Macaca fascicularis: one gene and its partners. The protein of the gene in region 2 purifies or fractionates together with the protein of the main gene of each other region. This does not show direct contact. Links are inferred from orthologs where the notes say so. Each region holds a gene or a part of one and is shown on either strand. Other genes may lie near its edges.

Region 1 (4,170 bases), about 47 Mb from region 2:
TCTCTACTTAGCATGGCCAGCTCTCCATGAGCTGCAAAGTTCTGCACATCTAAATATAACCAACATCTCACACCGTGTACAAGGCTTGGCTAAATTCTTCCCAGATCTCCAACAGGCTTGTTCTTTAGTAAGATTCAGTATAATTCAACAAAATCCTGCATAGCTATTCTAAACAATACTTTGAGGGCCTACTATATGCCTGACACTATACTATTTTATTTCATTCATTTTATTTCATTAAACTGCCACAACCACTTGAGGAGACTCTGAGGCCCAAAGAAATTAAATAATTTGTGCAAGATCACATAGCCTGCATGGGGGAAGCCTGGAGCTGAACCCAAATCAGTGTGACTACTATGTCTGTACTCTTACCACTACACAATGCTAGTTTCTCTACTAAGTGTTTGCCCTGCACTTAAAAGGAGTAACACATGGTACCAGGCCTCAAAGAGGTTTCAAGCAAAATAAAGGTACAACTTCAATCCTACCACATCACACAGAAGAGCCCTCCCAAATTACATAGATCCCACTTATGTGAGAAAGTGAGATTTTTTTTAAAACTCTTTCCTAAAATCTCACTTACTCATTGAGTTTATAAATTTTTTCAGAAAAAAAGACTTCATCGAGAAGCTTGTGGATGTTGCGTCTCTCTGCTGCAAGCAAAACACCATCATTTGCTAAAATTCCCAAACAGGTGCCTGCATGTCCAATAGCTTCCATGGCATATTCAACTTGGTATAAGCGACCTACAAAACAAAAGCAGTGAGAAGCCAAGACTCTCCTCTATGCTCTTGCACCACTGACCCAAAAGAAATTAGCAAGGAAGCAAGCTAGAAACAAATTCCCACTTTCACTCTTCTATGGTATAATCAACCCGGTGACCATAATTGCTTCGAAGTACAAAAAGGATGAACTTTGCAACTACCAAAAAAAGTTTGTAATTTTTTTTTTCTAAAAGTCTAACACATTTTTTTTTTAAACTTGAGGCAGATTAAACAATTTCTATTTTACCTTCTGGAGAAAATATAGTGGTCCTGGAGTCATATCTTCGAGACTGCAAAGGAAAAACACATGAGTGATTCCTACCCACTGAAAGTAGGCCAACTCCTGCAAGCCCACAAATCACCTTACAAAACCTATCCTGGTATACAAAGTTCAGCAGATGAGAGGAAACTGACAAGAAAAAAGGCACCATCTCACTGCTTTCCTTCTATTTCAATTTTCCCACACAAGTCTGTAAGCTGAGTACAAGCAATACTATTTATCAGGCAACAGTTTACTGGCACATGTATTAACTCACCATGTTTTCTGAACTTTATATAGTTCCTGTAAAAAGAAAATCAGATCATCATTAAAATAAGATTCACAAATTAAAAAGCATTTGCTGACTTTACAAATTAGTTTTATTTACTCCCTTTATTCAGCTAAGTGTCAGGCGTTATGCTAGATGCTGGAATACCAAAATGTGTAAAACCAATTCCTGTCCTGAAAAGCTAATACTGGCAGTTAGGTGAGAGAGGCAGTCATAGATTATAATGCAGAAAGAGGAACCGGGGGTAGAATGGGAAAAGGGATGATGAAAAAAATCCAGAAAGTATTTTTTGAGAAACCGATACAGAAAATGAAAGTAAATCAGAGACGGGAGAGGCAGAAATAAGGCTGAGAACTCCTGGGTCTAAGAGAAAGAACAGGGGAAGAAAGAAGGGAAGGGCACTCCAGACAGAGCAGAAAGTATGAACAAAGGGTACTGAGGCAGGATAGCTTAGTGGGCATGAGACAAACTGCTGATGTTTTTAAAAATACATAAATAAGAGCTAAGCGAGTATCCAAATCCCGCGGAGCCTTGAATGCCAAGTTAAGACACTTAGGCCTTCTCCAGAGAGTCCTGAACTTGGGGGTGGAGGCAGTTATCTTGGGCACCATCAGTACCATTCGTGCAAAAGGCAATACTGGGTGCTCAGTGTTATTTGGTAAAGCCTCAGTCCAAAGCCCACATTCCCAAATACTGGAATACAGGGAATCAAGACTGGAAAGGTAAGCTGGAATCAAATCCTGGAGAGCCCGCGTGCCCAGGTAAAAACAGAATTTTCTCTCTCAGCCACTGGGGCTCCTCGGAATGATTCCCAAGGCCCGCAAGAACTGATTAGCATTTTAAATGATCCCTCTGGCTCGTGAGAGACGGAGGGCAGCGAACTGGTTGAGGTAATAGGAAGGTGCAAAGTAAGGATGGCCCAGAGCAGAGAAACAGGTAGGACACAGAGAGACTCGCCGGGGATTTCTGATTCGAGCGTAAGCACAACTTTCTGTGGTCTCCACGCCTGACGCCGGTCACAGCACGATTTTGAGTTCACCGGCACCTCTGGGAGCGCTAACTTTCACGTACCGAACTCCCGGGGACGGAAGCCGCCCCGAGTCCTCGGTCCTGCCCACAGATCCCCACCCTCAGCTCGCCCCCTCGCCGGGCCCCGGCGTCCAGGCTCGGCACGGGGAAGCCTCCAACGGCGGCCGGAGGGGGCCATTCCCGGCGGCTGGTCTGTCACCGTGGAGGCGGTGCAGAGTCATCGTGCCCACGGCTCCTCGGCGGCAACTGCAGGCCGGGACCGACTGTCTTGACGTTCACTACCCCCGCCGAAGGGAAGAGCGGCCATGCTTCCGCGGGCCCCCAGGGGCCAAAGGCTCACCAGATGGAAGACCCTGAAGACTTCAGATGTCCACTGAGCCCTTATCTCCGCGGGAAAATAAACCACCAGGGCTGCCCGAATAACCGCTGCTAATATGGCCCCCGCGCTTGCGCAGAACCGCTAAGGGAGGGGGTAGTGGGATGGCCGAGGACACGGAAGTCCTCCTTGTGGGGCGGAGCTAGAACCCGTGGCCCTCGTGGGAGCTGGGGCGCTGCAGCAGGTGGAGGAGTTGCTGCGCCATGGGGAGGAGGGCAGGAAGACCGTAGCCAACCAGAAGGTGGAATAACTAATTTCCTTCTCTTACCCTTGGCGCTCTACTTTCACTTTCTCTTCACTATTCACACCTAGGATAGCAAATAGTGTGGACCGGCTTCTTAATTGCTACCATTCCTGTCCTGTTTCCCGAAATGGTTCCAATCACATGAGACTTTACCTCTGTAATCATCTCCCTTTTTCATTCTGGCTTTCACTTTTACTGCTGATGTATACATTTTGGACATTTACATTATGATGAGGAAGGCTGGGTGGCTCACGCCTGTAATCCCAGCACCAGCACTTTGGGAGGTCGAGGAGGGTGGATCACCTGAGGTCGGGAGTTCGGGACCAGCCTGGCCAACATGGTGAAACCACGTCTCTACTAAAACTACAAAAATTACCCGGGTGTGTGGTGCACGCCTGTAATCCCAGGAAGCTGAGGCATGAGAATCGCTTGAACTCAGGAAGCGGAGGTTGCAGTGAGCCAAGAGTGCACCACTTCACTCCAGCCTGGGCAACAGAGTGAGGCTCCGTCTCAAAAAAAAAAAAAAAAATGATGGTCGGGCATGGTGACTCACGCTTGTAATTCTACTGCTTTGGGAGGCTGCGGCAGGAGGATGGCTTGAGGCTAGGAGTTTGAGGCTGTAGTGAGCTGTGATCGCGCCACTGCACTCCAGCCTGGGTGACAGACAAAGACTCTGGCTCTAAAAATTAAAAAAAAATTATGGTCAGGTTCACACTTTTAGAATTTTCACTTGGTGTGTTTCTCTGCTTTTCACCAGTCAGAAAGGATTACCCTGACCAGCGTAGTTAAAACAATACCCTACTGTCAGCATATACTTGCACCATTTTATCTTCTTTACTGAAATTGTCATACTTGTTTATGTGTTCATTATCCATCTCTCCACCCTTTTGCTCATTCAGCCTCAGTCCCTATGTAAACTATCTACTATTCATTTCAGGTTTTTTCAGGCTAGAAGGTTGACTAGATCTGGGTTCATATGAAGTCATCTGCTCAGTCTCTCCCAAAAAGCAACCCATTGGGCAGAAACTCTGTCCTCTTCATGTTGGTTGCAAAATAATTGGGGGATGTGGGCTTTGAAAAGGAGATGGCTTGGAAGTTGCATTTTGGGGTCTCACCTATCATCTCTGCTTTCCAAGCACACAGGGAAGTGAGCCAAGGCAAGATGGCAAAGAGTCACACACAGGTGGTGCTCTGAAAGCATCCTCAGGT
Region 2 (4,090 bases):
TCCATGTTCTTTCAGCCCCTTTGCGCTCATAATGTCAGACGCTGGCCTCCAAACACACAGTCGTCATAGGGCAGCTGAAAACAAGGGGAAAGAAGACACATTAAACTTCCGAAGCTCTGCCAAGCCACTGGGATGGGGAGGCCGCTACTGGAAATAACCCTTGGACTCCATTCTCCATAGCCCAAATACAATGAACTTTACAGGCTGAGGGAGTTTGCCTTTAACTCCCATTTTAAAAATGTTTTAAAAAATGCTTTTCTTTAAAAAAGGGTAAGCTATTTAAAAAAAAAAAAAAAAGGTACATTATTGGGATACTGGTTATGCACAGAAATTTGAGAGACTCATTATGTAGATACCCCTCTGATAAGGAGCAGTTCTAGGGGCCCGGGAGGGTGAAGGGAATGGTCCCTCATTAGTTAGAGAGCCCAAGGAGTTCACAGACTCACCTCATCCTCCGTGAACTCCGTGAACTCTGACTCTGTGTCATAGCTCTCCTCATCCTCACTCTCCGGCAGCATCTGAAGGTTTTCCAGTGTCAGCTGGCCCAGCTGCTGCTGTATCCGGGTGCTTGGGCGGCCCCAGGTGAGCTGGTAGGGAGAATAGCCCTGGTAGGTAACTCTGTTGACATCAGCCCCACACTTCAACAGGAGCGACACCAGGTCAGGATTCTGCAGGTCCACTGCGAGGTGAAGGGCAGTCCGGCCGTTACAGGGCTCCTGAAACCAAAAGGAATTTGAGATGCTTATGGCTGCGTTTGGAATTTCTGCTCACAACATGAGCACGAGGAACTTGACTCAGTGCATCGGAGGCAGGAAGCACTAACCTGAGCATTGACATCAGCACCCAAGGACACCAAAAGCTCCACAATGCCCAGGTAGCCATGGATAGAGGCTAAGTGCAGACACGTGTGGCCTGGAAGAACAAAACGAAAAAAGTATAACCACCTGTTTCAACCCTCACTCCTTTCACCTATTCTTTTATGGGACAAATAGTCATATCTTCTGAATTTTAAGAACCCACCGTTTGGGTTCTGAAAGAACTTTATAAAGGCATCCAACAGGCACTTTGCACACATATTTTCTCAACCTTTCAAATGCTGGCAGTTTAAGTTCTTGCCTCGACTCCTTAAGTTGGCCCACCTGCCCCTTCTCCACATCACCTGCCACCTGAGGGGGTGGGGCAGGGCAGGGAGGCAGACATACCATTGTAGTTGGTAGCCTTCAGGATGGAGTGGAGGTGCGGGGTGGTGCAGGACTGAGTCAGGACTCCCACGCTGGCCAAGCAGCCCTGCTCACAGGCAAGGTGTAGGGGGGTATTTCCTCGAAAGTCTCGGAGCTCAGGATCACAGCCAGCTCCCAGAAGTGCCTCAGCAATTTCTGGCTGGTTGGTGATCACAGCCAAGTGGAGTGGAGTCTACGAATGCAGGAGAGACCAGAGAAAGTAAGCCAGGGACCAAACCCACACCCTGAGTTCCCCTGAACCCGTGTCTCCTGGTTGGGTGCTGCTCCTCCTAGACAGGCGGGTGGGGAGGACTGGCAAATAGCAGAGACTCCAGGTGGGTCACAAAGACCTCACCAAATCAGTGGAATTTCCTTCACTCTCTAGGATGTGGGCTGACGTGAAGTAAAAGGTGAGGGTGAATAATGCCCTGTGGCCCTGAATTCAGAAAGGATCTGGGGTGACTTTGCTACATCAGTTCCATCCCAGAGTTAGAGAGCCCGGGCCAGGCAAGCGGCGCACCTGCTGCAGGTTGTTCTGGAAGTTGAGGAAGGCCAGGTCTCCCTTCACCTGGCGGATCACTTCCATGGTCAGTGCCTTTTCTTCATGGATGATGGCCAAGTGCAGAAACCTGTGGGGAAGAGAGGGAAAAACCCCAGGGGTGGTGAGTGCACCGCGTGGGGCCCAGGGAGGCGCGGGCTGCGGGGGATTGCGCAAGGCCGGGGTTTCTGGAGGCCGAGGCCGCGGTGTTTTCCGCGAGGTTATTATGAGCTGAGTGTTCCTGGCAGGCGCCCAGGGACTTTCCGCCCCCCTCCCCCCGCGGCCCCGGCGGGCGCCGGCCAGACCGCCCCGCCCTCCCGCCAGCTCGGAACGCCCTGTACTTCCCCTCCCGGCTGCTCGGCGCCCGCCAGCGGCCAGAAACTCCCGCCCCGCCTTATGCAACCGGGGACTTCGCGTCCCAGCTGCCGCCCCGCCCCCGGCCTAGAGGACAGGCCTGGGGGGAGGGGGCGTGTGGCGACGCTGCCGTCCACCAGGGCCCAGCCGCCGCCCCTCCGAGTCGGGCCGGTGCCCCGCGCGGCCCTGCAGCCCTGCAGCGTTCGGGGCGGTGCAGGAGCCCCGGGGCGCCGCGGCGCCAGCCCGGCTGCATCGCTAGTTCCCCAGCTCGGGCTCCAGGCCCGGCGCCTCCCACTCCCCGGCCGCGCGCATCCGGCCCTCCCGAGGACCCCCGGCTCCGGGTCTGCGCCACTTACGAGTCCCCGTCCTCGGTGAGCTGCTGCTTCCAGGGCTCCGCGCCGCGCGGCACCTCCTGCGGCTCGAGGCGGATCTCCTGCAGCTCCTTGACCATCTGCTCGTACTCCTCATCCTTCATGGAGTCCAGACCGCTGTCGTGGCGGTCGTCCAGCAGTCGTTCCTTCTTCAGCCCGTCGCGGGGACCCTCCATGGCCCACTCCTGGGGGCGCTCGGCCGCCTGGAACATGGCGCGGGCGAGCTGCGGGCGCTGCTGCGGGTGCGCTGGGCCGCGGGCTGCGCGCTGCTTCCTCGCTGGGGCGCTGGCGGGCGGGACGGCGGCACGGGCTGGTGTGGGCTCTGCAGCGCCGCCGCGGCGCCCTATAAACGCTGGCTGGGGATTTCTCTGGGGCGGGGTCAGGCGCGGGGAATTTCCAAGCCAGTCAGACCAGAAAAGAGAACTGGCTTCGTCCTTTGCTAGGGGGAAAAAGAAGCCTAAACCCTGAGCTGGGGTTCGTCGGAGAAACTCCCTGCGATGAGCCACTGGGGTCACGGACAGGGAACTTTTTGATGAGTGCCAAGTGGCTGGAAAGTCCTTCCGACCAGGCCCCCTTCCCCGCGGTACTTCCCTGCAGCCTGCACCCTGTAATCCTGTCTCTCTGCAAGTGAACCTTCTTTCCCTGGGGTTTCCCACGATCGATTTGAATTGGGGTCGTCGGCGGCTGAGATCCCAAGGACGCCGACCTGATGGGCGGTCCCTCTTTGGGGTTTGCCAACCTGCCGGTCCTTTCCGTTTTTTGATCTTTTGAAAACGCAAGAGTGGAAATGATGGCTGGGCGTAGGGATTTGCTTTCCCCAGACTTCTAAGGGGAAGGACGCACTGTGGTTATGGGGCTGCAGGCTGCTCTTGTGTTTCTGCTAATATCAGGCTCATTGCAGCACGGGGACGTTTAGCTTCGCGCCCTTCCTCCCCTACCCCCCACGCACCTCTGCCAGGTAGAACTGTGAAAGCTTTGGAGGAGTGGAAAGCCTAAATCCTTGGAAAACTCTCAAATCACTTCCAATCACTTCCTAGGGATGAACAGCCTTGTTGAGTGGGGGAGGGGCAAACTCTCCCTGTATGGGGAAACTGCTGAATAGGACCATGATTTTTTTTTTTTCCCCCAAGTAAAGCAAGGTGTTAATCTTTGTAGTGGTGGTTGTGGATACCTTGCAATAACAGAGTAGCTATTGTGTTCATAAGTAGCTGTTGCATTCATGCTATCTGACCTACATTGTGCTGCCGCAGAGAATGGATCCTGAGCCTACTTCTGGGCATCTAAACTGAGCAATTCGAGGAGCACTTAGAGAAGGAGGCTGAAGAATGAGTTTAGTTAGTGCCTTAACCGCGATTGGACCTTAAGGACCGCTAAGAAAGTAGTTGCCAGTCATCCTGCAGGAGGCTCAAGGCAGCCCCATCCTCCCATCCTGCCCACCCCGCCTTGCTCCCTCGTCCTGGGGGATAGTAGCAGTTGGACCCATTCATGCCACCCAGGTAGAAAGGGGTTTTGGCTCACTATGCTCTGATTTCACCTGCAGAAATGTAATTTATGCTCTCCATCCCACCTCCACCTCCAAGCCTGCAAGCCATGGACTGAATTCATCT
Region 3 (2,737 bases), on a different chromosome or scaffold from region 2:
GGGGATGAAAGCAGGGTGAGCCAGGCCCGAGACCCACCTGCCTTCCAACCCCTCCCACCTCCCCAGTAGGCGCCCCCGCACCTGGTGCAGGTGGTTGGTGAGGTTGACGACGCCGAGGTCCTGGGCGTGGTGGATGACATAGGCTATCTGCTCAATGACACTGGTCTGCCCATGGATGATGGCCAGGTGCAGCGGTCTGGGGGTTGGGGAGCGAGAGTCTGGCCCAGCCACTCAGAGCATCCTTCGCTCTCAAAGCCCCACCGCCCTCATAGACTCCCTCGCTGGGGCCCGTGGAACCCAGCACGTGGCCCAGGGCATCGCTGTGCCTGCACTTAACGTTTCCTAGCACCTTTTGAGGTAGGTAAGTGCTATAACTGTACCCCTTGCACGGTCGACAAAACTGAAATTTGGAGAGACCAAGCATCTTGAACAGAGCTGGTGAACAAAGAGGCCGGACTTGAAGCCTGGTGTGTCCGAAAACTGCAGAGCCCGGCTCTGTGCCGGTCCCTTTCCTGCCCCCACCCGACCCCGCGCCGCGTCCGCCAGGCCCTCTGTTGCCTACGTGTCTCCGTTCTCGTCCTGCGCCGTCAGCAGGTGGCGCTGTCCCGCCAGCAGCGCGCGCGCGTCCGCGGTGACGCCGTAGTCGAGTAGGGCCCGGGCGCTGCGCTGCGCCAGGCAGAACAGTCGCGCGTTGTACTCTCGGGCTGGGGGCGACAGAGGGCGTGGGTCAGAGCTGGGTCCTCAGCCCCAGCGCCCCGACCGTCCGTGCCCTGGAGGCCATACCTCGCTGCAGCATCTCCGGGGCCTGCGGCTCGCACTGGGGGGCCCTGGAGGGGGCGCTCGGCTCCGCGGCTTCCTCTCCGGAGTCCCTGCCGGGCACCGAGGCGGCCATCTGCGCCCCGCCCCCGCCTCCCGGGTAGCAGCCCATGGGGCCCGCGCCGGACTGGTAGGGGCTGTAGGCCAGGGAGGAGGGGAAGAAACCGAGGCTGCCACCTGTGGGTACAGGCAGGGCTGTGGGAAACGGGCACCAGCCAGGACTCTCCCAGTTTTGGTTTTTTTTTTTTTTTTTTTTTTTTTGAGATGGAGTTTTGCTCTTATTGCCCAGCCTGGAGTGCAGTGGTGCGATCTCGGCTCACTGCAACCTCTGTCTCCCGGGTTCAAGCGATTCTCCAGCCTCAGCTTCCCGAGTAGCTGGGATTACAGGCGCCTGCCACCATGCCCAGCTAATTTTTGTATTTTTAGTAAAGATGAGGTTTCACCCTGTTGGCCAGGCTGGTCTCGAACTCCTGATCTCAGGTAATCCGCTTGCCTTGGCCTCCCAAAGTACTGGGATTACAGGCGTGAGCCACCACGCCTGGCCTCTCCCTGTTTTTTTTTCCTCCACAGCTTCTCTTGCCTTTACCCCTCCCTCCATCAGCACCCCCTCACCTCCTCCAGCTCCTCCATAGCCCCCCGCTGCACCTCCAGAGCCTCCACCCATGTGGGAGCCACCCCCGAAGGGCTGGGAGAAGGTGGGCAAGGCCTTCCTCCGCTTCCGCTGCACCTCTTCCTTGTCTGGGGGCAGAGGAAAATGAGATTGAGCCCAATTATTGTGTCATGCCTCAGGGGCCCTTCCCAGAAGAGCCCTCAGGCTGGCTCCTAGGAAGCACCTCCTCAGACCCTCCACACTCCTGACTTGGCTCATGCATCCCCACATCTAGCTCTTGGGACCTTCTAGCCCAGCCTGGCCCCCCACCATCCCCCTGGGGTCCTCAGCCCAGCTCCACCTTCCACCAGAGGGTAATAGGTGAACTGTTTGGAATCAGACACATCCCCTCCTCGCTTGCGTTTCAGTTGCAGGAACACTGTTACGGGCCGCTCAATCTTCATCTTGTGATAGGGGGGTGTCCGGAACACAATGGCATACTGGGGGGTGCAGGGAGACACAGGGTGTCAGTGAGTCCTTAGCCTAATTTAGCCCCCAGCCTGGGCCCTAGCCCTGGATACCTGTTTATGCACATCTGTGGGAGAGAAGTCCCCAAAGGCCTGCCATCCATTCTCATCATCCTCATAGAACCGAACCTCAATGTCATCTACAAGGAAAACGGAAGCTTGGCCGCAGCTCCCGGTGGAATCTCCGGGGCCATTTATCCTAGAGCTTCCCTGGCCCCAGTCTTATATTCGATGTCCTTGGCGCCCAGCCTGGGCTCCAGTCTCACCTTTCTGCACCTTGTCACAAAGCAGATAAACTTCATCACCACCCCGCACAGAGCCTGCTGTCTTGTCCATTCGAGAAATCTTCAGGTTTGATGCCCCCGGAGACTCTATGGGGTGGGATATGGATTAGCTGAGATGATGCAATAGCCATGGCCACATTTAAGGAGCTTGGTGCTCTGTATTCCTTATCTTAGCAACCCCTGGAGCTGCAGGAACCACCCAATATTCGCATTTACTAAAGATAGAAGCTTCAGGGGGAGGAAATGACTTGCTCAGGATCACTCAGCATCTATGTGGCAGGGCCAGGTTCTGAAACCTGGGCCTGTTTGACTCCACAGCTTAAGGTCACCCCTCGTGCCACCTCTGCCACCAGGCCTGGCACCCCAGGTAGTCAGGATACTCACTGCTGTCATGGATGGGCTGGGAAATGACTGGCTTCAGGGGCAGGGAGAAGGAGCCATCACTGGCTCTAAGGAAGGCAGAGAAGCGCAGCCGCACTATACTCAGATCCATCACCTTCTTCAGTTCTTTGGCCTCCTGC
Region 4 (3,500 bases), on a different chromosome or scaffold from region 2:
CTCAGTTCTATGGTGAAAAGGGGAATAAAGCAGGACAAAAAACGTGGAGATTTCACATCAGGTACCATTTCTGCTCTCTGCTTTCTCTTCCTCTACCTTGGAGCCTACCTGACATTCCTTGACCACCTCGTTTATGCGGAATGTTTGGTGACCTTGGTGTTCCTGAGACAGTTCACAAACCCAGCAAATGACTTTTCCATCTTCCTTACAGAAGATCTGGAGTTTTTTTCCATGGTGCTCACAGATGTCTCTCTTCTGCCCCTCCTGTGGGCTCATCTTGACCTCCTTGACTCTCTCAACTATGTTGGCCAGATGCCGATTAGGTCGGAGCTTCCCAGGCTGGAATCTGCTCTGACACACAGGACAGCTGCTTTCTCCTCTTGAGATGGTCACTGACTCCTTGATCTTTGCAGTGATGCAGGCTTGGCAGAAGCTGTGGCCACAATCTAGGCTCAGAGGTTCTGTTAGGAGCTCCAGGCAGATGGGGCAGGTCACCTCCTTCTCTATGTCTACCTTTACTGAGAAATCCATTGCACTGCTCCCTTGGCTTCTTTCTGTCTTGACTCTTGAACTTCTTGGTCAGAAAATCCTGCAGTGCTGGAAATGTTGAAGGGGACAGGGTAAGAAAAGCGGGAATAGAAAGAATACTGCTTTTACAGAGATTTAGAACAGGACCAAAAATTAATATTTAACAGAGAAAGGAGAAAAGAAAGGCAAGAAGAATAAACCAATGACAGAATAAAATGGACTTTGTAGTAATTTGAAACACTTTATTCTTAATTTTTGTCTCAGGACAAATTTCACCCCATCAAGGCAATTATTGTTATTTTCTCTTCTACTGGAGAGGACAAACTGAAGCTTTTCTACCAAGAGGTTCGTGTAACCCATCATTTATCCTGCCTTTTGTTCCCCAACCCAAAACACATTTTCCATGTTAAATGCACTAAGCACACCACTGCCCCTGGGCTTTTGCACATGCTTTTCTCTCTGGATGACGTGATTGTATCTCTAATATTTGCATGATTCACTAATATTTGTGTATTTTTAAGCTACTGAGTTGTATTTACATAGCATCATACACTCTCATTTTTAAGTGTATAATGTGATAATTTCAACTAAATTTGTGGAACTATATGACTGTTACTGTAACACAATTTAAAATTATTTTTACCACCTGAAAAAAAAAAAAAAAAAAACAAACCCTAATGCCGTTACTCCTATTCTGATCCCAAGCTCCAGACAATCACTAATATCCTTTGGATTTTTAATCAATTGATAAAAATAGAATCATAATATATGGTCTTTGGTATCTGAATTATTTTATTTATACTGTTAAGGTTTATCTCCTCTGCTTTTTCCACATGTAAAAAACACCTCCTCAATTAAACTATCAAATCTATGACTCCTCAAGGCTTTTGCACTTGCTCCTCTCTCTCCATAAAATGATCCTTCCCCTGATGTTAGCAAGAGTCATTCTTAAATTTAATTCAATCTCTTAGATGTCCTCTTCTTAGAAGGACATACTATAACTTACTTATAGCAAAACCACCAGTAATATCACTCACTGCACATTTATCTTCTTATTTTTACTATGTAATATATAAGATTGTTCTTTAAATGTCTACTTCTTCCTCCTGAAAAGTAATCCATTCATAGACATGGGACTGTTTTTGTTCACTGATATGTCCTCTATACATAGAAGAGCGAATCACATACAGGAATAAAATGTTGAATGAATATTTAAAGCTACAACTTTCCTCTCCCTCCATAGATGATTAGACCTTTGAATCAGATTTTCATCTTTTCTTTCCATCAATTAGCAGTTTCCCAATAGCTGAGCTTTGGGACCATGATTATGGTTTCCAGTGAAGAAGAGTTCACATCCTAACACATCTACCCATAGCAAGTCCTCCCATGACCTCACACTCACTCCTCAAAGACATACACACACACCCACACACCACTGCAACCACCACCACCGCCACCATCACAATAAGAAAATAATTTTATCATAAAGAATTTTATAACCAGTTACAATTTGGAAATAATTTTGACTTCTTTATTCTTCATACAAAACCCTTGAGAAAGAAGAATACTCCCTTTCTTCAGGTGTGTCAATAGAATTAAGTAACTTACAAAGATCACTCATTCTAATCTAATCGGTAGAGTAAGAGTGAATGTATTGGTCTCCAAGGTCCTCCTTCAGAGTTCTCTCCACTACTGCACAGATTTAAACAGACAACAAAGGTAAAGGTTACAACAGTTATACTGATACCCAGTGCTATGGGGGTATAGAAATGGAGAGATTCAGACCAGCTATGTAGTTCTAGGGCATGCTGTGGTTTTAAATGTTGAAATTTCACCGTGGCCTGGACATAAGGCGAGGATGGTGATAGGAACCTAAAGGTGTATATCTTTAGGGAAGACGAAAAGAGGCTAAAATAGTTACAGGATCACACACGTGACATAGACTCAATGAATATACTTTTTAAAGAAACATCTGTTGGTCGTGGGAGAAAAGTCTCTATCCATAAAGGAGGCCAAGTATATTGAGAATATGTAGCGGAGGGATAAGGTCTGTCCTGTTTCTCCCCAAATGATGCTGGAATCCTAATGTGTGAATGTCCTTTTATTTGCAGATAGTATATTTAAATACTATTTAGTTACCATGTGCTCATTAGGATAGACCCTTATCCAACATGACTGTATCCTTACTAAAAAGGGACATTTACACACAAGGAATATGCTAGGGTGAAGAAGAAAGCAGAGATCAAGGTGATGCACCTATAAGCCAAGGAATGCTAAAGGTTTCCAGGAAACTATTAGAAGCTGGAAGAGAGGCATGGAGCAGATGCCTCCTTCATAGCCTTCAGAAGGAGCCAGCCCTGCCAACACATTTTATCTTGGATAACTAGTCTCCAGAATTGTAAGGCAATATATTTCTGCTATTTAAGCCAACCACTTTTGGTACTTTTTCTACGACAGCTCTAGAAAACTAATACAAGTGCTTATTTTTCTTGATTTATTCATTCTTTATTCTAACATTGAAGAAATGTAGCCCCATTGAAACCCTTCCAACCTAAGACAGGTAAACAGATAGACACATAAACAAAATGCATGCTCCCCTTTGAAGGTGGTACAAATGTAGGAGTTTTTATGACACGGTGAAGGCTAACTAGGTCCATAACTTCCTTATTTCAGAATACTCTGATTACCTGCACAGAAGCTTTCCGTATGTGTACAATTTAGATTTAAAAAAAAAAATGGTCAGGCGCTGGAGCTCAAACCTATAATCCCAGCACTTTGGGAGGCTGAGGCAGGCAGATTACCTGAGGTCAGGAGTTTGAGATCAGCCTGGCTAATATGGTGAGACCCTGTATCTACTAAAAAAAAAAAAATACAAAAATTAGTCAGGTGTGATGGCAGTTGCCTGTAGTCCCAGCTAATTGGGAGGCTGAGGCAGGAGAATCGCTTGAACCCGGGAGGCAGAGGTTGCAGTG
Region 5 (3,043 bases), on a different chromosome or scaffold from region 2:
CTTGGCAACTGGGGACTTGCGCAGGTTAGCCTTGAGGATGGCAACACGTGACTTCTCATCAGGAAGTGGGATGTAGATGAGCTGATCAAGACGGCCAGGTCTGAGGATGGCAGGATCAATGATGTCAGGCCGGTTGGTAGCGCCAATGATGAACACATTTTTTTTTGTGGACATGCCATCCATTTCTGTCAGGATCTGGTTGATGACTCGGTCAGCAGCCCCACCACCATCTCCAATGTTACCTCCACGAGCCTTGGCAATTGAATCCAGCTCATCAAAGAATAGCACACATGGAGCAGCTTGGCGGGCCTGTAGGAGGAATGGATTGATTCAAGCATTAACAAAACTAGATCTCTCGGCCAAACGTGGTGGCTCACACCTGTATTCCCAGCACTTTGGAAGGCCAAGGTGGGAGGATCACTTGAGGCCAGAAATCCAAAACCAGCATGGGCAACATACTGAAACTTCATCTCTACAAAAAATAAAAAATTAGCCAGATGTGGTGACGCATGCCTGTAGTCCCAGCTACTCAGGAGTCTGCAGTAGAATGGCTTAAGCCCAGGTTTCAAGGTTACTGTGAACTATGACTATACCACTGCCCTCCAGCCTGGACAACAGAGCCAGACCCTGTCTCAATTTAAGAAAAACAAAAAAAACAAAAAAAACAGCTCTCTCACACCTCAGAAAATCAAGTGACTTGCTGTCCAGTTGAGCAGCCAGTAATAAGAATGTTTCAACCGTCTTAAAGAAAAACAGCTTCTATTCCTTGTCCCCAGGCAAATCAATAGATAGCTCAGCCTATTGTAGCTCACCTTGTCAAAGATTTCTCTGACATTGGCCTCAGACTCCCCAAACCACATGGTGAGCAGCTCAGGACCTTTGATGGAGATGAAGTTGGCCTGGCATTCATTAGCAATGGCTTTGGCCAACAAAGTTTTCCCACAGCCAGGAGGTCCATAGAACAGAACTCCCTTGGAAGGTGTCATGCCAAACTTCAGGAATTTGTCTGGGTGTTCCACAGGATACTAGGAGGAAAAGGAAAGAGGGTTCAAGGTTACCTCCACCTTGTGAAAGAAACCTAACTAAACAGAAGCATGCCCTCCATTACTTCATGGTGTACCCAATGGTATCAGATCCAGGTTCTCTAGAAGCAGACTCCTTAGTGCCTCAAATCTAAGAAAAATAGGTTCCTAAGTCGTGCTCTCACATCTCTTGCAGCAAACGTGTTGACACCCTAAGATCACCAAGGTCAATTACAATGTACTGAGGCAGTGACTCACCCTGGACCAAGTTACCCTACCTGGACCAGCTCCTGAAGCTCACGTTTGACATCCTCTAGGCCCCCGATGTCTTCCCAGGTTACCTGTGGCACCTCTACCACGGTTTCCCGCAGTGCTGATGGGTTACTCTGGCTCAAGGCCCACTAGAAAAGGAGGGAAAACTGGGGATGAGACTTACCAGGAGAGGGGTCAAAGCACATATGTGTGTACCTGAGGCAGGGGTGTGGTCCTTACCCGGAAGTCATCCATAGTAACTGCTAAGGAGTTCATGACCTCGGCATCAATGGTCTCATCCTCTAGGTCAATGAGATCCATCTTCTTGCGGATGGCTTGCAGAGCAGCCTCTGAGCACAGGGCTGCTAAGTCAGCACCCACATGCCCGTGAGTCTCATTGGCTACCTGCAGAGAAAGATCTATTTACTGTGCTGCCTCAAAGACCCAGCTGCCGCAGGAAGCTCAGAGATAATAGAATGCTTCCCCTGACTGCTATCCCTGCGTCCTCTAATTTCCTTGAATACATATACTAGCAAAACCTTTATGGGCTGGGTTTTAAGTACTTAATCCTGGACTCAGGACCTAGAAATAAAGCTGCTCCAACAATTCTGATTTACTCTAAATGCAGCGTCAAGTGAGAAAAATGCCAACTCCAATTTCCTGGATTTAATCTCAGATTACCTCCTTTCCCCTGTCCAGAAATAAAAACCCATCTCCTCACATCAAAACCTTATGTCTCTAGCCAGTTCCCAGCAACTGCCTAAAGATATTGTAACGCCTGGTCAGCCCTCATCATCACTTCACCTGTTCCAGGTCCACATCATCTGCCAGCTTCATGTTCTTGGTATGGATCTGAAGAATCTCTAAGCGTCCCGTAGCATCAGGAATTCCAATATCTACCTCCCTGTCAAAGCGACCTGTGGGACAGTGCATGAACATAGACAGGGCTCGTTTCTAGTCCAGAGGTAAGAGACAGGCCTAGGGTGACCAACCATCTCAGCTAGCACAGGATTGTCCTAATGTTAGCAATGAAAAAGTCTCAACCCTGGGAAACCTTTCAGTCTCAGGAAAACCAGGGTGGATGGTCACTCTAGACAGGACGTAGGATAAAGGAAAAAGAAACCCAGATCCAATCACTGTGAAGGGCTTCAAGAGGATTAGGTGACTTAGATGAAGGAGAGAGGTAGGACCTAAGCAAGGACATGGTCAAAAGTATCTGGAGTCCTTACCAAATCGCCGTAGAGCTGGGTCAATGCTGTTGGGTCTGTTGGTTGCTGCCATGACAATCACATGTGCTCTCTGCTTTAGGCCATCCATGAGGGTCAACAACTGTGATACGATGCGCCGCTCCACCTCACCATGAGTCTGCCAGAACAGGATGTCTGGTCAGAAGTGAAGTCAGGGCCTTTCAACCCCCCACTATCCCCTCAGGTAAGCTCCTACTTTCTCTCTTTTGGGAGCGATGGCATCCAGCTCATCAATGAAGATGATGGCAGGAGCATTCTTCTCAGCCTCCTCGAAGGCTTTACGAAGGTTGCTCTCAGACTCACCAGCCAATTTGCTCATGATCTCAGGACCTGAAAGGATACAGAATGGAGGCAATAACAAAATGACAGTCTTTCCCAATTGCCCCCAAAAATCAGTTATCTTGCTTGTTTGGCCCAGAGACAGGTCCTGGGTGAGAAGGTGGTAACCTATGCCTACTTCTCAGATCCTCTACCAGCCATTATCCCAGGACAGCCACCAGGCAAGGCTGGAGAGAAGCCCAG
Region 6 (3,500 bases), on a different chromosome or scaffold from region 2:
AGTAGCTGGGACTACAGGCGCCCACCACCACGCCCGGCTAATTTTTGTATTTTTAGTAGCGACGGGGTTTCGCCGTGTTGGTCAGGGTGGTCTCGAACTCCTGACCTCAGGAGATCCACCTGCCTCAGCCTACACACTGGCCTCTTTGTTGTTCCTGGAGCACCCCAGGCACAATCCAGTCTCAGGACCTTTGCACCTGCTGTTCCAGCTGTTTAAAACACTCTTCCTCAACTCTCACTACTTCCCTAGAAAACTTCCTGCTTAATCATCCTCCTGTCATCAGCTCAGCTGTCCCCTCCTCCAAGAAGCCTTCCCTGATGCCCACAGCTAGGTTAGGTGCCCCCTTTGGGCAATGCGAGCCCTTGAGCACTTTATTCCAGTCCTGCCCACTCTGGTCATCACTGTGTGGGGACAGGCTGTCCCCCATCCTCAGGACTATAAGCCTCATGGGGACACAGCTAGGGGCTCTGTTGGTCACTGCTGTGTCTCTAGCAATACCGAGCACAGGCCCAGGCATGTGCAGGATGCTGAGGGGAGGAAAGATTAAATACTCTCCAATGTCACAGGACGGCTACTATTATTTCCATTTTGCGCAGAAGAATGAGGCTCAGAGAGGCCAAGGTCACACAGCCAGTAAGCAGCAGAGCCGGGATCTGAACACCGTCTTTGTAGCTCTGAGCCTGCATTCTAGTTCCGCCTCTTTCCCCTCCCCACTGGGGTCTCCCCAAGGCCGAAGACCTAGTCTCCGAGGTGTTGGGTCACCCTGGGTTGCTGTAGTTACCATGGTCGCGAGGCAGGTATGTGAAAGGCAATGGCTCGCTGCAGACCCCATCGGTGAGCCGCTGCAGGAAGACGTTGACTGTCACAGGCTCTACAATCTCCAGGTCCTCGTAGGGCGGCGTCTTGAACACAATGGCAATCTGGCGGTGCACGTCCGCCTGGGAGAAGTCAGCCCGACCTTCCCAGGAGGCCCTGCTGAACACCACTGATATGTCCTCTGGCAGGAAACGGGGGACATCAGCTAAGCCAGGACATCTGGGCCACTGTGCTCCCAACTTGCCCAGCCTCCCCCAAAATCAAGACTAATATTCTTTTTTTTTTTTTTTTTTTTTGAGAGTCTTGCTCTGTCGCCAAGGCTGGAGTGCAATGGCGTGATCTCGGCTCACTGCAACCTCTGCCTCCCAGGTTCAAGAGATTCTCCTGCCTCAGCCTCCCGAGTAGCTGGGATTACAGGCGCCCGCCACCATGCCTGGCTAATTTTTTTTTTTTTTTTTTTTTTTTTTTTTTTTGAGACGGAGTCTCGCTGTGTCTCCCAGGCTGGAGTGCAGTGGCGTGATCTCGGCTCACTGCAAGCTCCGCCTCCCGGGTTCACGCCATTCTCCGGCCTCAGCCTCCCAAGTGGCTGAGACTACAGGCGCCCGCCACCACGCCCGGCTAGTTTTTTGTATTTTTAGTAGAGACGGGGTTTCACCATGTTAGCCAGGATAGTCTCGATCTCCTGACCTCGTGATCCACCTGCCTCGGCCTCCCAAAGTGCTGGGATTACAGGCTTGAACCACCGCGCCTGGCCTATTTTTTTTTTTTTTTTTTTTTTGAGATGGAGTCTCGCTCTGTCGCCCAGGTTGGAGTGCAGTGGTGCGATCTCGGCTCACTGCAGGCTCCGCCTCTGGGGTTCACACCATTCATTCTCCCGCCTCAGCCTCCTGAGTAGCTGGGACTACAGGTGCCTGCCACCATGCCAGGCTAATTTTTTGTATTTTTAGTAGAGACAGGGTTTCACCATGTTAGCCAGGATGGTTGCTATCTCCTGACCTCGTGATCCACCTGCCTTGGCCTCCCAAAGTGCTGGGATTACAGGTGTGAGCCACCACATCCCACCAATTGTTTGTATTTTTAGTAGAAACGGGGTTTCACCATGTTGGCCAGGCTGGTCTCGAACTCCTGACCTTAGGTGATCCACCCACCTCGGCCTCCCAAAGTTCTGGGATTACAGGCGTGAGCCACCGCGACCGGCCTTGTTTTTTTTTTTTGTTTTTGTTTTTGTTTTTTTGAGACAGGGTATTGCTCTGTTACCCAGGCTGGAGTGCAATGGCATGATCTTGGTTCACTGGAACCTCTGCCTCTGGGCCTTGAGATCTTCCTACCTCAGCCTCCCAAGTAGCTAGGATTACAGGCATGCACCACCACACCCGGCTGATTTTTTTTTGTATTTTTTGTAGAAAAGGGGTTTTGCCATGTTGCCCAGGCTGGTCTCAAACTCCTGGATACAAGCAATCCTCCCACTTTGGCCTCCCACAGTGCTGGGATAACAGGAGTGAGCCACCATGCCTGGCCTCTAATATTCCTAAAAATAAAACTAATCACCAGGCACGGTGGCTCATGCCTATAATCCAGGTGTTTTGGAAGGCCAAGGCGGTGGATCACTTGAGGTCAGCAGTTCGAGACTAGCCTGACCAACGTGGTAAAACCCCATCTCTACTAAAAATACAAAATTAAGCTGGACGTGGTGGCTCACACCTGTAATCCCAGCACATTGGGAGGCCTAGGAGGGTGGATCACCTGAGGTCAGAAGTTCAAGGCCAGGCTGACCAACATGGTGAAACCCTGTGTCTCCTAAAAATACAAAAATTAGCCGAGTGTGGTGGTGTGCACCTGTAATACCAGCTACTCAGGAGGCTGAGGCAGGAGAATCACTTGAACCCAGGAGGCAGAGGTTTCAGTGAGCTGAGATCACACCACTGTACTCCAGCCTGGGTGACAGAGTAAGACTCCGTCTCAAAAAAAAAAAAAAAAAATTAGCCAGGTGTGGTAGCACACACCTGTAGTCCCAGCTACTTGGGAAGCTGAGGCAGGAGAATCACTTGAATCAAGGAGGGAGAGGTTGCAGTGAGCTGAGATTTCTTCATTGCACTCCAGCGTGGGCAACAAGAGCGAAACTCCATCTCAAAAAAAAAAAAAAAACGAATCATAGTGGCAGCTAACTTTCTACTGAGCACCTATTATGTGCCAGTCACTTTGTTTGCTTGTTTTTGAGACGGAGTCTCACCCTGTCACCCAGGCTGGAGTGCAGTGGCGCGATCTCAGCTCACTGCAAGCTCTGTCTCCTGGGTTCACACCATTCTCTTGCTTCAGCCTCCCAAGTAGCTGGGACTACAAGCGCCCGCCACCACGCCTGGCTAATGTTTTGTATTTTTAGTAGAGACAGGGTTTCACCGTGTTAGCCAGAATGGGCCGATCTCCTGACCTCATGATCCGCCTGCCTCGGCCTCTCAAAGTGCTGGGATTACAGGCGTGAGCCACTGCGCCCGGTTTTTTTGTTTTGTTTTGTTTTGTTTTGATATGGAGTTTCACTCTTGTTGCCCAAGCTGTAGTGCAGTGGCACGATCTCGGCCTCCCGGGTTCAAGCAATTCTCCTGCCTTAGCCTCCCAAGTAGCTGGGATTATAGGCATATGCCACCACGCTTGGCTATTTTTGTTTTTTTGTTTGTGTGTTTTTGAGA
Region 7 (3,500 bases), on a different chromosome or scaffold from region 2:
GAACAAAGCGGGGAATATAAAAACCAGCATACCACAAAGGAGCAAGGTAAAGTAAGAATGGCTAGCTTACGAGGTAGAGGAAACTAAAATCCATAATTTTGAATTAGAATTTGAAAGTAACCAGGAAGTATTACATTTCTTTCTGTATGAAAGTAAAGGTAATTGCTCAAGACTATAAGTAGGCAAATACACAACTCAAGCTGTAAAGTGTTTAGGACCTACTGGAATAGTAAAAATACAGATCTTAGAAATATTTTAGAGATGCATAGGATAAGACGAATTATGAAGAAAACTTTAAAAATGACTCAAAAAACTGGCCAAAGAGTATTTCCTTAGTTCCTTTTTTTTAAATTTTTTTTTTTCTGGAGACGGAGTCTCGCTCTGTCGCCCAGGCTGGAATGCAGTGGCCGGATCTCGGCTCACTGCAAGCTCCGCCTCCCGGGTTCACGCCATTCTCCTGCCTCAGCCTCCCGAGTAGCTGGGACTACAGGCGCCCGCCACCTCGCCCGGCTAGTTTTTTGTATTTTTTAGTAGAGACGGGGTTTCACTGTGTTAGCCAGGATGGTCTCGATCTCCTGACCTCGTGATCCACCCGCCTCGGCCTCCCAAAGTGCTGGGATTACAGGCTTGAGCCACCGCGCCCGGCTCCTTAGTTCCTTTTTATTAGCATCTCACCCATTTTAACATTTAAAAGACTTAGATAACCCAAATCCATACTACTGCCAAAAATGTGATAAAAATAGAAATCTGGAATTCAATATATAATTTTGCCACTGATTTATTCTATAACTTAGCAATTCCCTTTAAGTTCATCAACAGAATAGACTTTGTAAATAATCTAGTTATAAAACAATGAATTAAGATCTGTTGATAAAAGTAACACTTTTCAAATAAAAAAAAAAAGTAACACTTCAAAATCTACTTTACCATTCAAGTTTTTAATTGGCATTTAAAGGATAAACCCTTCACTGAAACTCAAATGAAAAACAGTTTACAAATAGAAAATATAAATTTAGTACATTGGGCTGGGTGCAGTGGCTCACGCCTGTAATCCCAGCACTTTGGGAGACCGAGGCGAGCGGATCATGAGGTCAGGAGATTGAGACCATCCTGGCTAACACGGTGAAACCCCGTCTCTACTAAAAATACAAAAATTAGCTGGGTGTGGTGGCACACGCCTGTAGTCCCAGCTACTCAGAAGGCTGAGACAGGAGAATCACTTGAACCTGGGAGGCGGAGGTTGCAGTGAGCCAAGATCATGCCATTGCCCTCCAGCCTGGGCGACAGAGTGAAACTCTGTCTCAAAAAAATAAAAAATAGGCCGGGCGTGGTGGCTCACACCTGTAATCCCAGCACTTTGGGAGGCTGAGGTGGGTGGATCACGAGGTCAGGAGATCAAGACCATCCTATCCTGGCTAACATGGTGAAACCCCATTTCTACTAAAAATGCAAAAAAATTAGCCAGGCACCAGTGGTGGTGGGCACCTGTAGTCCCAGCTACTCGGGAGGCTGAGGCAGGAGAATGGCGTGAACCCGGGAGGTGGAGCTTGCAGTGAGCAGAGATTGTGACACTGCACTACAGCCTGGGCAAAAGAGTGAGACTCCGTCTCAAAAAAAAATAAATAAATATATAATAAGTAAATAAATTTAGTACATCTTGGCTGTGCGCGGTGGCTCATGCCTGTAATCCCAACGCTTTGGGAGGCCGAGACAGGTGGATCACCTGAGGTCAGGAGTTCGAGATCAGCCTGGCCAACATGGTGAAACCTTGCCTCTACTAAAAAATACAAAAATCAGCTGGGCGTGGTGGTGGGCACCTGTAATCCCAGCTACTCGGTAGGCTGAGGCAGGAGAATCACTTGAACCCAGGAGGTGGAGGTTGCAGTGAGCCAAGATTGTGACATTGCACTCCAGCCTGGGAAACAAGCACGAAACTCCATTTCAAAAATAAATAAATAAATTTAGTACATCTTATAACTATTAGTATGTTTACCAAAGTCATTTTTAGTCAAAAGCTTTTAAAAATTTATGCTAATGTGAGAAAACTACATTTATAAAGTGGTATTTCAAATCAGTCAATGACCCAGAGAATCAGAGACAAGCAACAAAGGTAAGAAAAAGGACAAAAAAATGTTCTAGCCCTAAGACTAGCCAAGAAGAATTATGATTGAGTTATCAAACCTATGTTTAATCTACAGAAGAGTATCACCCACCTCTGTAGAGAATGGGTTTTCCTTATTATCTTTGTGTTCCATGAAAAAGAACATGATCCAAAAGCTGCCAACTATCCCCACTGCAGATAGCTATATGGTGCTGTGTATTAACCTAAGTAGAGCGACTAAACATTATGAGGAAAAGGAAAAAGAAAAAGAAAAAGAAAAAGAAAAAAGGAAAAAAGAAAAAGACAAAACTGTGGAGATGATTGTTAAGAAACTGTCCCTTTAAAATAATTGCTATAGCTAATATATGAAGCAACTAATAGCGAGATAGACATAGAAGAAGGGTCTATTACCTGGATAGAAGGGTATGTTCGGTTGTTGTCTGTGCTGTGCTCCCCTGGAATGCTGCCCGCTGATCGCCCTTCACATTTGTATCTAAAACGCATTCCCCTCTGCCTGGGTTGTTCAATTATCTCTATATACGGGTTATACGCACCTGAAAAGTTTTTTAAAAGGAGGAGGTGAGTGAGATTAATATAGCAATTAATAATGGATTTTAACACGTCTGTTTTTTCATAACAGCAGACTAAAATAAAGATTTTTTTTTCCTCCTAACATTAAATAACAAGGTTGAAATGTTATCTTGGAGATTGGCTGGGAGAGGCACCTTTTTTTCCCATTCAGATTGAGTCCCTATGTAGTGTCAAAACAAGTCATTCAAACCATATTGATTGGTTAGCACTTTATAGCTTAATATCTATAGCTAACATCAATATGAACTTCTGAGATAACCACTTCAGAGATATCCACCTCCCACGTGAGACCTAGCAGAAGGGTTTCCCCCAAGATTCCCCAAGAAGGGTAAAGAAGATAGTACTCAGAAGTAAAATATTACACTCCTAAAGTGAGTTAAATGTATTTAACTGCTTGATTTTACATCATATTCATAATACTGAATGAAAAGACCATTCACTGAAAATGAAAATGCATTTAAATCCCTGCAGAAGCATATGTAAGTTTTTTCTATCTCCATTCAAATGTTAAAGGACTTACACATAGTATATCAAAACAAGCCCCAGGAGGGACTTTAGGCTCAAAGAATGTGTCACCAGTCCCATGTAAACCTTTTCTAAAGATACAACAGAGAAAAAAAATTATTTACTTTCTATAATAACTAAAATTCAAAATAAGCATCTGCAGAATGAATTGCTGATACATATAATAACATGATGACTCTCAAAATCATTATGCTGAGTGAAAGAAGTTAGACCAGAAGAGCACATACTGCATGATTCCATTTATATGAAACTCTAGGATATGTAAAGTAACATACAATGAACA

Evidence for each region.
Region 1: the proteins of NFKBIA (region 2) and PSMA4 purify together in Homo sapiens (affinity purification with western blotting; 3 studies listed by BioGRID and IntAct, with this or other methods). This does not show direct contact. The link is inferred for Macaca fascicularis from reciprocal best matches to the Homo sapiens genes NFKBIA and PSMA4.
Region 3: the proteins of NFKBIA (region 2) and NFKB2 purify together in Homo sapiens (affinity purification with mass spectrometry; 6 studies listed by BioGRID and IntAct, counting the BioPlex papers as one, with this or other methods). This does not show direct contact. The link is inferred for Macaca fascicularis from reciprocal best matches to the Homo sapiens genes NFKBIA and NFKB2.
Region 4: the proteins of NFKBIA (region 2) and TRIM22 purify together in Homo sapiens (affinity purification with western blotting; 3 studies listed by BioGRID). This does not show direct contact. The link is inferred for Macaca fascicularis from reciprocal best matches to the Homo sapiens genes NFKBIA and TRIM22.
Region 5: the proteins of NFKBIA (region 2) and VCP purify together in Homo sapiens (affinity purification with western blotting; 7 studies listed by BioGRID and IntAct, with this or other methods). This does not show direct contact. The link is inferred for Macaca fascicularis from reciprocal best matches to the Homo sapiens genes NFKBIA and VCP.
Region 6: the proteins of NFKBIA (region 2) and RELB purify together in Homo sapiens (affinity purification with mass spectrometry; 4 studies listed by BioGRID and IntAct, counting the BioPlex papers as one, with this or other methods). This does not show direct contact. The link is inferred for Macaca fascicularis from reciprocal best matches to the Homo sapiens genes NFKBIA and RELB.
Region 7: the proteins of NFKBIA (region 2) and REL purify together in Homo sapiens (affinity purification with mass spectrometry; 6 studies listed by BioGRID and IntAct, counting the BioPlex papers as one, with this or other methods). This does not show direct contact. The link is inferred for Macaca fascicularis from reciprocal best matches to the Homo sapiens genes NFKBIA and REL.

The regions. Positions count from the first base shown.
Region 1 is NC_088381.1:55,902,836-55,907,005, reverse strand, and holds the start of PSMA4 (proteasome subunit alpha type-4), read right to left. Parts: upstream 2,801-4,170; 5' UTR 2,682-2,800; intron 1,327-2,681; 5' UTR 1,304-1,326; coding exon 1,301-1,303; intron 1,055-1,300; coding exon 1,012-1,054; intron 747-1,011; coding exon 584-746; intron 1-583. UniProt on the Homo sapiens protein: Component of the 20S core proteasome complex involved in the proteolytic degradation of most intracellular proteins. This complex plays numerous essential roles within the cell by associating with different regulatory particles.
Region 2 is NC_088381.1:103,221,237-103,225,326, forward strand, and holds the start of NFKBIA (NF-kappa-B inhibitor alpha), read right to left. Parts: upstream 2,801-4,090; 5' UTR 2,696-2,800; coding exon 2,469-2,695; intron 1,850-2,468; coding exon 1,741-1,849; intron 1,414-1,740; coding exon 1,203-1,413; intron 913-1,202; coding exon 824-912; intron 717-823; coding exon 447-716; intron 75-446; coding exon 27-74; 3' UTR 1-26. UniProt on the Homo sapiens protein: Inhibits the activity of dimeric NF-kappa-B/REL complexes by trapping REL (RELA/p65 and NFKB1/p50) dimers in the cytoplasm by masking their nuclear localization signals.
Region 3 is NC_088383.1:111,407,063-111,409,799, reverse strand, and holds part of NFKB2 (nuclear factor NF-kappa-B p100 subunit), read right to left. Parts: coding exon 2,601-2,737; intron 2,304-2,600; coding exon 2,199-2,303; intron 2,073-2,198; coding exon 1,987-2,072; intron 1,906-1,986; coding exon 1,767-1,905; intron 1,555-1,766; coding exon 1,429-1,554; intron 994-1,428; coding exon 784-993; intron 705-783; coding exon 563-704; intron 197-562; coding exon 82-196; intron 1-81. UniProt on the Homo sapiens protein: NF-kappa-B is a pleiotropic transcription factor present in almost all cell types and is the endpoint of a series of signal transduction events that are initiated by a vast array of stimuli related to many biological processes such as inflammation, immunity, differentiation, cell growth, tumorigenesis and apoptosis.
Region 4 is NC_088388.1:68,345,598-68,349,097, forward strand, and holds part of TRIM22 (E3 ubiquitin-protein ligase TRIM22), read right to left. Parts: intron 598-3,500; 5' UTR 532-597; coding exon 109-531; intron 1-108. UniProt on the Homo sapiens protein: Interferon-induced E3 ubiquitin ligase that plays important roles in innate and adaptive immunity.
Region 5 is NC_088389.1:64,370,425-64,373,467, reverse strand, and holds part of VCP (transitional endoplasmic reticulum ATPase), read right to left. Parts: intron 2,852-3,043; coding exon 2,718-2,851; intron 2,640-2,717; coding exon 2,504-2,639; intron 2,192-2,503; coding exon 2,079-2,191; intron 1,680-2,078; coding exon 1,515-1,679; intron 1,424-1,514; coding exon 1,301-1,423; intron 1,026-1,300; coding exon 813-1,025; intron 310-812; coding exon 1-309. UniProt on the Homo sapiens protein: Necessary for the fragmentation of Golgi stacks during mitosis and for their reassembly after mitosis. Involved in the formation of the transitional endoplasmic reticulum (tER).
Region 6 is NC_088393.1:53,067,705-53,071,204, reverse strand, and holds part of RELB (transcription factor RelB), read right to left. Parts: intron 998-3,500; coding exon 782-997; intron 1-781.
Region 7 is NC_088387.1:61,078,999-61,082,498, forward strand, and holds part of REL (proto-oncogene c-Rel), read right to left. Parts: intron 2,656-3,500; coding exon 2,513-2,655; intron 1-2,512. UniProt on the Homo sapiens protein: Proto-oncogene that may play a role in differentiation and lymphopoiesis.